Mus musculus: one gene and its partners. The protein of the gene in region 1 interacts with the protein of each later gene in a pairwise test. Links are inferred from orthologs where the notes say so. Each region holds a gene or a part of one and is shown in the gene's direction. Other genes may lie near its edges.

Region 1 (2,734 bases):
CTTGCAGCAATGCTCTTGACCTTAGATTGCTTTATGATTCCCAGAAAGGGTGTCAGACAAAGAATATGCTCTTTGTCTCTAGGTACATAGCTGCAGAAGGTCTAGGCCTTCCCATTTTGCAATTAAGCCAAGCCAGCTGCTCTTTGCTGTAGCCTTCGTAGCCACAGTAAATGAGGACTGGTCTCTGGCCAGCTGACTCTGGCCTTTGATCACCCTACAGACTCTGATGAGAAAGCCCTGCCTATTTTGGAGCTGGTGGACTTTGCATCACAGGTTGCTGAGGGCATGTGCTACCTGGAATCTCAGAATTACATCCACCGTGACCTGGCTGCAAGGAACGTTCTTGTTACAGAGAACAATCTCTGCAAAGTGGGGGACTTTGGGCTTGCCAGGCTTGTCAAGGTAGGTCCCTTGGAGGTAGGAGACAGAAGCAGGAGGTGGGGCTTTATCTCCCAAGCCTTGAGCTGAACCTAGCCATAAGCAAGATGGGTTCCTGATAGGGTGGCGTTAATAGGCAAGCAAGATGGCTTTATCTATACAGCCACAGCCTTGTTCATACCCTACTGATCTAGCTTTGAGAACCTAGACAGACATAGCCATGTACCTAGAGATTTTCCTGTATTCATGCATTGTAACTCTGCTCTTGTCTTTCCCTGACCCAGAATTCTAGTGAATTGGCATATTTACTGGGCCTAGCCATGATTCTGGCAGCATTGGTGGTAGCTACCCATGGTAGCAGTGGGGTGGTGTTAGTGGGTCAGACAGCAATAGGCAATGTGGTTGTCCCTGCTCACCAGGACCTTGGAGTCCATGCTTGTCAGTGCTACACAAGAAGGGTACAAGTGGCAGCTCTCTCTAGTGTCAGGTCCTACCATAAGACATCTTACCACAGGAGGACATCTACCTTTCCCATGAGCACAATGTCCCCTACAAATGGACAGCACCTGAGGCACTTTCCCGAGGGCATTACTCCATCAAGTCTGATGTCTGGTCTTTTGGAGTTCTTCTTCATGAAATTTTCAGCAGGGGGCAGATGCCCTACCCAGGTATTGCCCCAAGAATGTCTCCAGGGGTGGACAAATAGTGAGCTAGAGTCAGGGCAGGTCTTGAATGGGTGACAGAGATGACAGGAGGTGTTTCCCAGGGCCTCAACCAGACCCCACCCCTGTTTCATTCCTCGAGCATCTGGGAGCATGCTTTTGGGATCATTTCTGGGAGACACCATCCACAGGGAAGGGAACATCCATGGACAGTGTGCTACAACATGTCCAGGGCATGATGGTGGTCATTCTAGCAGGGGTCAGCATTCAGGGAGGAGCCAAAGGAAGCTGGGTGTGGCTTCCAGGGATCAGTCTCCTAGCTCTCATTTCTCTTCTCCCATGGGCCACAGGCATGTCCAATCATGAAACCTTCCTGAGGGTGGATGCCGGCTACCGCATGCCCTGCCCTCTGGAGTGCCCACCCAACATACACAAGCTGATGCTCAGCTGCTGGAGCAGAGACCCCAAGCAGAGACCTTGCTTCAAAGACCTGTGTGAGAAACTCACAGGTATCACCAGGTATGAGAACCTGGTCTGAGCTCCTTGGACGTGGCCAGGACCCACAGAAGAGGGCCTCGTGATTATCCTGGACTTCTATTGAAGGCATGAACCATCCTTCAGTTTACTGAGATGAAGGGATAGGAAACATACCAAACATACCTCAAATACTGCGTTTTGTCAAGGAAAGAGTAAAGAGGCTCCTTTCCCTTTTTTGGGGGGGGGGGGTTTCGAGACAGGGTTTCTCTGTATAGCCCTGGCTCTCCTGGAACTCACTTTGTAGAGGAGGCTGGCCTCAAACTCAGAAATCTGCCTGCCTCTGCCTCCCAAGTGCTGGGATCAAAGGCGTGCGCAACCCGGCTTCCTTTCCCTCCTCCAGGAGGCAATACACAAAATCCAGAAAGTCACTCTCTGGCTTCTTCCTCCCTTCTCCTGTGAAGACTTCATGTGACAGAGAAGCCAAGAAGAGTCTAGGCAACAGGCCTTGTGGAGTTCTTTTCATACCACTTTTGGAGCTTGACTGTCCACAAACACATACCCTACCCTTTAGCACCTTAATTCTGCAGGATCTTATGCCACATACAACCCAGAACAAGTTTACATGATTTTCTCTTTATAACCTTGGTTTTGTTGGAGGATCCTCACCTAGAAAGTTGAAGACAGAGATAAATGGATATGAAATTTCTGCTTTGTGGTTTCCGGTGCCCAGTGGGGAGTGAGTGCTTGAGATACCCAATCACCTGGGGTCCGCAGAAGCAGAGGGAAGACGATGGAGTCAGTAAGAGCCAGGAGATTTTCTTGTTTGCTTTTTCCAAGACAGGTTTTCTCTATGTAGCTCTGGCTGTCCAGGAAGTCATTCTGTAGACCGGGATGGCATTAAATTCACAGAGATCCACCTGCCTCTGCTTCCCAAGTGCTGGGATTAAAGGCATGTGCTACTGTTGTTGCCTGGCAGAGCCAGGATTCTTAACCATGTGGGCAGAGGCAGCTCTTCTGCATCTCTGCCCGAGGCTCTGCACTTGTTTCTAAAGTCAAACTCGGTCTGAGCTTGTGAGTCTGGTGTTTACTTTCAGAGCTCCGTGTCCTTTCCCTTCAGAGATGCTTTTGCCCTGGGTTCCTGAGGCAGGATACCCTTATATCCTGTGCCATCCTCTGATTCCCATTTGGACCCGAGTTTTCCAAGATGGCTCTGGTCC
Region 2 (4,415 bases), on another chromosome or scaffold:
CTCCTGATAGTCCACATTCGGGGAAACTTTCTCCCATTTCCTGTGTCCTCATCACGGAGATACGACTGAGTCATGTCGAGAATGAGGGCTGCTATGGGGGTGCACACCCCTGAAAGGGCCTGGGAAGTCTTGAGTTCTAGACCAGCACCTGCCTAGAACCAGTCAATGACAGGTGACAGTGATCACAGGTCAAAACCTGTTCCATCCGACTCTGATGGCTTTGCTTCAGCCCCTGGAACCCACCCTACTCCAGCTCTGGACACAGCAATGGCATGCATGCACACATCCACACACATATGGGGAGGAGAGAGAGGGAGGAAGGAAGGGAGGGAGGGAGGGAGGGAGGGAGAGAGAGAGAGAGAGAGAGATGCTTTTCTTACCATTCTCAAATCCCAGAACCCAAAGGTGACTCGAGGGCTCTTGGGCCAACAAAAGGACATGTGAAAAATGTGAACAGCATGGAGAATGGAGAGCGGGCTATCTTACCAATTGTGGCAGATGGTCACCAGTCAGCTGGGTGTGGGGCCTATCTAAATGTTTAATCTTTATTGTTTGAATTGATGCATAAATTGATTAATTGATTCATTGGTAGTGTGCACATGCCACAGGTTAGAGGATACTTTTCAGGACTCTCTCAAAAAATCCAGGCTTTGCTACAAGCATCTTTGCCCACTGAGCCATCTCACCGGCCCTGAAGCTAGTATTTAGCTATGTATGGTTGCCATCAGAACCCGGCATCATTTGGGGCAGAGCTGCAGTAGATGGTTCAAGTAAGAAGTGGGGCAGCCTCAGTCTGGGATGGACCTGGATTTGATTCCCACCACAGGAAAATGCCCAAACTGAGGTGTCTGGGGTCCAAGGCTGCAGGGGCATGTACTGGAGATGAAGGGCACTTAGCTTTCTGGTTGTGCCCAGGCCAGTGGTCCCACTTCCTTGGAGGTGCTTCTGGGGCAGGGAGAGAGATGGCTCAGTAGTCCTGAGGATCATCATGCTGCCATGTGACCCTGAACAAGAAACGGAGCCCAGGCCGGGGAGTTAAGTCTCTCGAAGTTGTCATATGGGAGTGGAGTGGACATGTGGCTCTTGCTTAATGCTGGGGCAGCCTGGCTTCATCACCAGCACACAGCCTGAATAAATAAATGGCATGTCACATGAATGGATAGACCAGAGTTGCTATATGACCTCCAAAGCAACTCCTAGCCATGTTCCTTGATTCCTTTGTTTGTAAAATGAGGCTCAATATTAAATGTCACCTAATTCACAGCCTCGGAGGGGTTCTCCAAAGAGCCATGTATGCAGTAGGTACTTAATAAAAGCTATCCCCTCTTTCCCTCCCAGTCTCCCGAGAGACTTGACAGGTGCAGAGATCAAGGAGCTTCTCCTGTCACTTTAAAATATGCAAATAGCCTGCGGATGAATTTCCAGGCTCAGCCAACCAGTGCAGGGTTTATGAAGCACCGCGGGGCGGAGCTCCTCCTGACCACACCCATGGCGGGGCCAGCAGCGCGCTCCGCAGCGCGCGGGGAGGGCGGGGCGCGGGTCTGGAGCGCGCAGGTAGCGCCGCGAGAGGCGGTGAGTGTCCCCGGCGCGGGGCTCCGGTGCGGGGTGCGGGGTGCAGGACGCGGGGGCGGGGTGCGGGGCGGGGACGCAGCCTCCATCCTGACCCGGCCCGAGCGCAGGTGCCGTCTGCAGAAGGCGGGGCGCCACTCTATGGCATCTCTCAATCCTGGGCTGGGAGGCTGAGACCCCCCCCAGGACCCCCAATCCCTCTTCCGGGTCTCTAGCCTGGCCCTAAGCTGGGGGCCGCCTCCCTCGCTGCCCCTCTTCCTCGCCTGGGAACGAGGGTCTCCTCCTTTCCTTTGCACCCGCTCTAGGGTTGGTAGGCTGGTGGGGGTTCTGTAGGGCGAGTGTGGTGGAATTGCGGGGTATCTGGAGTATGGAGCGCGGGATCCCCTCCCGGGGGAACGGGGCCTGGAGAGGCCTGGAGCCTGCACCAGGGACTCCCGCGCCCTGTTAGGGGGGCAGCCGGCATCTGCTCCAAGGGACAGAATTAGTCTAGGTGAATGAGGATGGGGTGCAGAGAAGGTCGGGGATGGCCGCCCCTCCACTTGCCCTCAGCGTCGCAGGACCTGCTTCATGGTGACCTTGGGCAGGTGACAGCACCTCCCTGATCCTTAGTCTCCTCCTCAGAATATAGAGGTTGAGGAAGCCAGACTATCTGTCTCAAATTCCCAACACCTGTGCCCCATTTTCTCCAGATGGGGACCACAATCTTTAGTCAAATGTTAGGGCACTCTGGTTTTGGCACTTTAAAAGGGGTTGAGCCTGGTGTGGTCATTACAATCCTCTGGTGGCTGAGGCTGGAAGATCTGCAGCTTGAGGCCAGCCTGGGCTACATTCACAGACTCTGCCTCATTAAAAAAGCATAAACAAAACAAACCATGATTTTGATTGATGGATACAGTCTAGCCTGGGGCGGAGCAGCGAGACCTAAGGCCAGCAGAGGACAGTTTCTATCTGACCATAAGATGGACGGGCCTCCAATCAAGACCCAGACTTTGTCACTGTGGTCCCACCCATGTGGCTGCCCAGGTCACACCCTGACCCACATACCATCACCTACAATAGGGTTCCTAGGCTGGTTCCTGGGCGGGGTCCCAAGTGGAAGGTCAGGTCTTAGTCCCTGCCTCTTGCAGGATAGTAGGGTGAGTCCCAGGCAGGAAGCCTGACACCCCCAAATTTGTGTGCCCAGACTGGACTTAAACTGAGCCTTCTGTGAAGTGGACTGAAAGTCTGTAGGAAGATCAGAGGTGGTTGTGGGAGTGACAGCGCGCCGTAAACACCCACTCCTATGATAGTAATTATGATATTGCATTCATTAAATGGGGTCACAGCCAAGGAGGCAGTGAGATGTCTTTGAAGGGTGTGACCAGTGTCACTAGCACCCCAAGGACTTGGGTACACAGTGGTGCTCAAAGTATGTGTGACAAATGAAATGACTCAGTGGAAGGCTTGCACAGTGGCCTCAGTTTCCCTGTAGATTTCTGGCTGGTGTGGGAGGGGAGGCAGTGAGGGTCACACTAGGGATCAATGGCTGTGGGCACAGCCAGCCTGTATCCAACCCCCAGAGTGCAGCTCTGGTCTAGTCTTGCCTGGCTCAGTTCCCTGGTGCTGTTCACCCACCTAAGCCTCAGGTTTTGGGGACTCGGTGTCAGGAGATGGGGTGCTTGCTCTGTGCCTCTGAGCAGTGTCTGTCCCTGGACCTTATTCTAGTATTGTAGAGCCCAGAAAGCCCCAGGTTACATTAGGTAAACTGTCTTAGGCTAAAACATTTTCAGAGGCCTCTATTGGTGTTTTAACTTCTTTCCAAATCACACGGTTTAAAAACACAAAACGAAACCCCAAGAACAAGGGGCTGAGAGACGCCTTGTAGTACTTAATATTTACACCACACCATCACCCTAGCACCCAGAGGAGGAGACAGGAGGATCAAAAATGTGAGGCCATCCTCTGCTACATAGTGAATTTTGAGGCCAGCCTCAGCTACTTGAGACCATTTCTAAAAACAAACTTTAATCTGTTGATCCTAAAGTAATTGTAAGAATATTTGAGTTTCCCTTTCTGAGGGTGAGGCTTCACCTGTCTTCAAGCCTCGGTTTCCACTCATGGGCATACTGACCTAGCGCAGGCCAAGGTAGACACTTGTGGCTGTCTGTCTCTCTGGTAATGATCATGTCGCCTCCAGTCTGCTCCCTCACCTCCCCCATTTGTGTGGCTGCCCTGTGACTATGGGGAGGTCCCAGGGATGCTGGGCGGGGAGGTGACGGTTGGGTGGCAGGCAGGGCGGGCCAGGCTTCCTGTCCTCCCCCAGACACAGAGGCCTCCAGTTAGTGCTGGCGGAAGTGTCAGGGGTCATAGCCTCCCGGTGCCTACCCCATCCTTCAGGGGCCCCAACTCTCAGTGCCCATCGGTGAGTTTGACCCCAATCTTTGTCTCCTCAGAGCAGGAAGTTATCCCACAGCCGTGGCTCCGGGTCTGGGGCCAACGGTCGGTCTGTCACTTCCTGGCCAGGTGGCAGCCTCTGGGCCTATCCTTGGCCCTACTCTTCAGGCGGGAGGCCCTGATCTGGGTGCAGGTTGTGGCCCATCAAGGGCTGCTGGGTAGAGCCAGATGGGTGGTCATGGCCCTGATAGCTGGTATCTAGCCAGGTGGGGTAGGGAACAGCATGAAGTATGCCCCCTAAGAGTGGCTTTTATGTTAGGGTGGCGGGAAGCAGGGTGCTGTCTAACATGAGCTCTGGGGACATTGATGGCTTCCGGGAGACTGTTGCCCAAGATGACGAAGACAACTGTCATCTACCCAGCGTGGCCCCCAGGCATGTGTGCAGGAGGGCTTGGTTCACAGGGGACATGGAT
Region 3 (3,651 bases), on another chromosome or scaffold:
TAGATGCAGTAGTGCTCCTTAGGCGGCATAGTTCTCCATTGTCCCAGAGTTGAATTTGATTTGTTAATGTCTGTCTCTTCTCAGAACTTACTCATTTAGCACATACTTGTTAGATGGTTAGTTATGGGATTCGTGTTCTCATAAAAATGATAGACAAATGATTAGGAAGTATATAATAAAGGAAAACAAAACTAGATAAAGGATAGAAAATACTAACGGGGAGGCAGGGTAAAGGATTTACAGACAGAATTTTTTTCTTTTTCCTTATTTATCATTTATTTTGTGTGTGTTCACGCATGTAGAGGTCAGAGGACAACTTGCAGGAGTTGGTTCTCTTTTTCCACCATGTTTGTTCCAGGGATCGAACTCAGGTGGTCAGGCTTGGCAGCAGGCACCTTTACCCACTGAGCCATCTCGCCAGCCTCCCAAAAGCTTTTTATGAAAGGGTAGTCAGAGAAGGCTTCTGAGAAGACACATGAACCAGAGAACTCAATAAAGTGGTGAGTAAACTGAATATTTGGAGTAAGAATAATCTAAGTAGAGACAACAGCATATTAGGAATATATAGGAATCTCAGTTGTTTAGTCCCTCCTACCCTCCAGCATTATACTCTAGCCTGTAGAAAGCATATACAGTTCAGAAAGTTTCTATTGGCTGTGTAAAATACCAGCCTAGAAACCTTTAATAATGAACCAGACTTAGCTATAGACCAGTCACTAACTTAACTCTATTACCCTTCATAAGCAACCATGTCTTTTAGTGAATTTTAACTTAATTAGAGTAGACTGTTGACATTAATTATTTAAATTGTGCTGGTAGAAAATGACTTAGTGTAGTCATTTGTATTAGAATAATTTAAATATTTTAAGATGTGATTACAGAATAAGATGATGAGTAAGAATAAGGGCCAGTAAAATGGTTCAGCAGTAAAAGGCACTTGCTGCCAAGCCTGACAACTTGAGTTCAGTATCCAGATCCCATGGTGGAAGGAGATAACTGACTCTTGAATGTTGTCCTCTGACTAACACACATACATAACTAAAATCAATTTGTTCATTAGAAATTACAAGATAACAAGGAGTAAGGTATGAAGAATTTATTGTTCATTTAGAATGGAAACTTTCCTATTGATTTCAATAGCAGTATTTGAAATGTTTAGGAAAATTTCATTTGGACAGGGAATATTTCTCATATCTATGAGCATGTTCAATGCAGTTAGTGTTCATGGTCATTGTCCTAATGACCACATACAATTCTGCCAGGTAATAAGACATACTGGAGTAGCATTGTAGACCTTTCTTTTTACTGAAATTATTGTCTTTAGGTAAAGTCCCAAGTCAAAGCACACTATGCATATATATTTTAAAATAATTTTCATTAATGTACTTTTTTCCTAAGGAGCTTATTCCGTACAACTTACATTGCTTCTAGCCTGTATGTATATATAGGTTTTTATGTATGTTAGTACATAGTTTTCCATTTTTTTCACATATTATTAGTTAAATACATCCACTAATACTGCCTTAATTTCCATGTTTTATGGTGATTAGTATTTTCTACATGTGCTTCAGTTTTTTTAATTGTATGTTTGTGTTGGCACCTTTAATTTTCCTACCAACAATTGTATTTTTTGTACAAAACATCTTTGTTTTCCATTTGTAAAGCTACTCTAGGTAGTAAGAACTCTAGGCAGTAAGTTATATATTATCATTAGCTGTGGGTGGTTTTCTTAGACTTCTCTTAATTTTACATAGAAACACTGGCATCTCGAGCTAAAAAGAGGAAGGATCCTTGAGTCCGTGTATTTCTCTTTATGAAAGGAGGAAGTGGATCTAGAGCGGGTTTCAGCTCCATCTTTTGGTGTCAGAATGTTGTTGACAAGCACAGAGCATTAGGAGATGTTGTGGAAACACGCCTCTGGGTGATGAGGGTCTGAATAGTTCTGAGGACGGGGTGGAGAACATGATGAGCACAGTGTGTAGTTGTGGTAGGAGGTTTGGGGACAGAAGGAGAAGGCAGAGCCCAGGCACGTTGTTAATTGATTCATTTTCCATTTTATCTAAACAAATCATGAAGATGATTAACTTTGGGGTATAAAAATAGCTTTGGATAAATCTCATTAAGCTGTTTAATCTATAGAATTGTTGCTGATTTGTTACATGACAGTTAATTTTATTCATGTGGTATATATAAATATTTTTTTTCTTTTGCTCAGTTTTTTTAAAGGTTGTTCCCACTTACCTATGCCTTCCGATTTTAGGAATCCCATCATCAGATTCTAGGAATGCAAATCTCTACTTTTTGGATGTTGTACAACAGGCCAATACTATTTTTCATCTTTTTGACAAACAGTTTAATGATCACCTAATGCCACTAATAAGGTTAGTTGCATTGTCATATTTTCATTGGTATTTAATGACTACTATATTTTTATTACTATTTTTAAATAATACATCTTCATATAAGCATCAAATAGGACAGGAGGTTTGAAATAAAAATCTTTTCTTTCTTTCTTGAATTCTTGTTTTCTCTTTTCACTGTGCTGTTAATTTTGATATATTTGAAAAGTTTTAACTATCATGAACCAAAATCTGAAATCTAATGTGGAAAGGGCCTTCCAGCTTAGAGCAGTTCAGCTGTTTGCATCCTTTGGAAGGCAAAGCAGATAACAGGCAGGGTGGTATATGTAGTCTTATCTACTCAGGAGGCTGAGGCAGGAGGATCTCATGTTTGAGGCAGTCTAGTCAACATAATGATTTCAAAGTCAGCTTGGATAACTAAGATGCAATCTCACACAGCGGTTTTATGTTTGCTTGTTTGTCTCTGTCCTTCTGCACCTGCATAAGGCATTCTTCTGATTTGTTTAATAAAGAGCTGATGGCCTATAGTTGAGGCAGGAGAGGAAAGGCCAGTTTCAGGCAGAGGAAGGACCTCTGGGGAAAGGAGATAGGCAGGAGATTGGCCAGCCAGACACAGATGAAGTCAGATGTATTGGAACTGAGTGAAAGGTAATGGACCACATTGTAAACATGGACTAGACTAAATGGTTAAGTTATGCAAGCAAATCAGGAGGTAGTCAGCTAAGGCCTAAGCTTTAATAAATAATAAGTACGTCATTATTCAGAAACTGGCAAGTCTGAGACAGTCACGTCATAAGCTAGTTAGTTCTTTCCTCCCTCTTCTCTTATAAGGGCTGAGGCTAGGAGAGGTATGTAGGATTTTCAGGGAAGAAAGGGAATTGACAAATATTGTAATTATGTTATAATACATATATGCACATGAACACCAGTAGACATGATACACTTGTAAAGATTACAGGAAACAGGAATGAACATATTTTGATAAAGCACTAGGATTTGGATCATATTTCATATCAATTTATATGGACTTTTAAGGCATTTGAAAATTAGAATTATATACATATGAACATATTTCACGAAGTTGTTTTCTTAGCACTGTTATCTATGCAAGAAATGTTGAGATAAATGAGTTTGATAGACTTTATAAACAGTATTATGCCATGTCTAGACCAGAAACAAGTTCAAAGATCATTTGTGATTCCCAAATCAGACTTTGAAAGGAAGTTTACTGTTTTTCTGTGTAACTCAGGTGGGTATTACAGACATGAGCCACCAAGCCTAGCTAGTTCTT

The links.
Region 2: the proteins of Ptk6 (region 1) and Fcho1 interact in binary tests that used the Homo sapiens proteins (3 or more experiments, as listed by UniProt). The two-hybrid records come from large-scale screens. The link is inferred for Mus musculus from reciprocal best matches to the Homo sapiens genes PTK6 and FCHO1.
Region 3: the proteins of Ptk6 (region 1) and Exoc5 interact in binary tests that used the Homo sapiens proteins (3 or more experiments, as listed by UniProt). The two-hybrid records come from large-scale screens. The link is inferred for Mus musculus from reciprocal best matches to the Homo sapiens genes PTK6 and EXOC5.

What each region holds. Positions count from the first base shown.
Region 1 is NC_000068.7:181,194,613-181,197,346, reverse strand, and holds the end of Ptk6 (protein-tyrosine kinase 6), read left to right. Parts: intron 1-220; coding exon 221-402; intron 403-892; coding exon 893-1,046; intron 1,047-1,390; coding exon 1,391-1,578; 3' UTR 1,579-2,223; downstream 2,224-2,734. UniProt on the Homo sapiens protein: Non-receptor tyrosine-protein kinase implicated in the regulation of a variety of signaling pathways that control the differentiation and maintenance of normal epithelia, as well as tumor growth.
Region 2 is NC_000074.6:71,722,790-71,727,204, reverse strand, and holds the start of Fcho1 (F-BAR domain only protein 1), read left to right. Parts: upstream 1-1,523; 5' UTR 1,524-1,572; intron 1,573-3,860; exon of another isoform or gene 3,861-3,970; intron 3,971-4,415. UniProt on the Homo sapiens protein: Functions in an early step of clathrin-mediated endocytosis. Has both a membrane binding/bending activity and the ability to recruit proteins essential to the formation of functional clathrin-coated pits.
Region 3 is NC_000080.6:49,018,132-49,021,782, reverse strand, and holds part of Exoc5 (exocyst complex component 5), read left to right. Parts: intron 1-358; exon of another isoform or gene 359-500; intron 501-2,215; coding exon of another isoform or gene 2,216-2,260; coding exon 2,261-2,381; intron 2,382-3,651. UniProt on the Homo sapiens protein: Component of the exocyst complex involved in the docking of exocytic vesicles with fusion sites on the plasma membrane.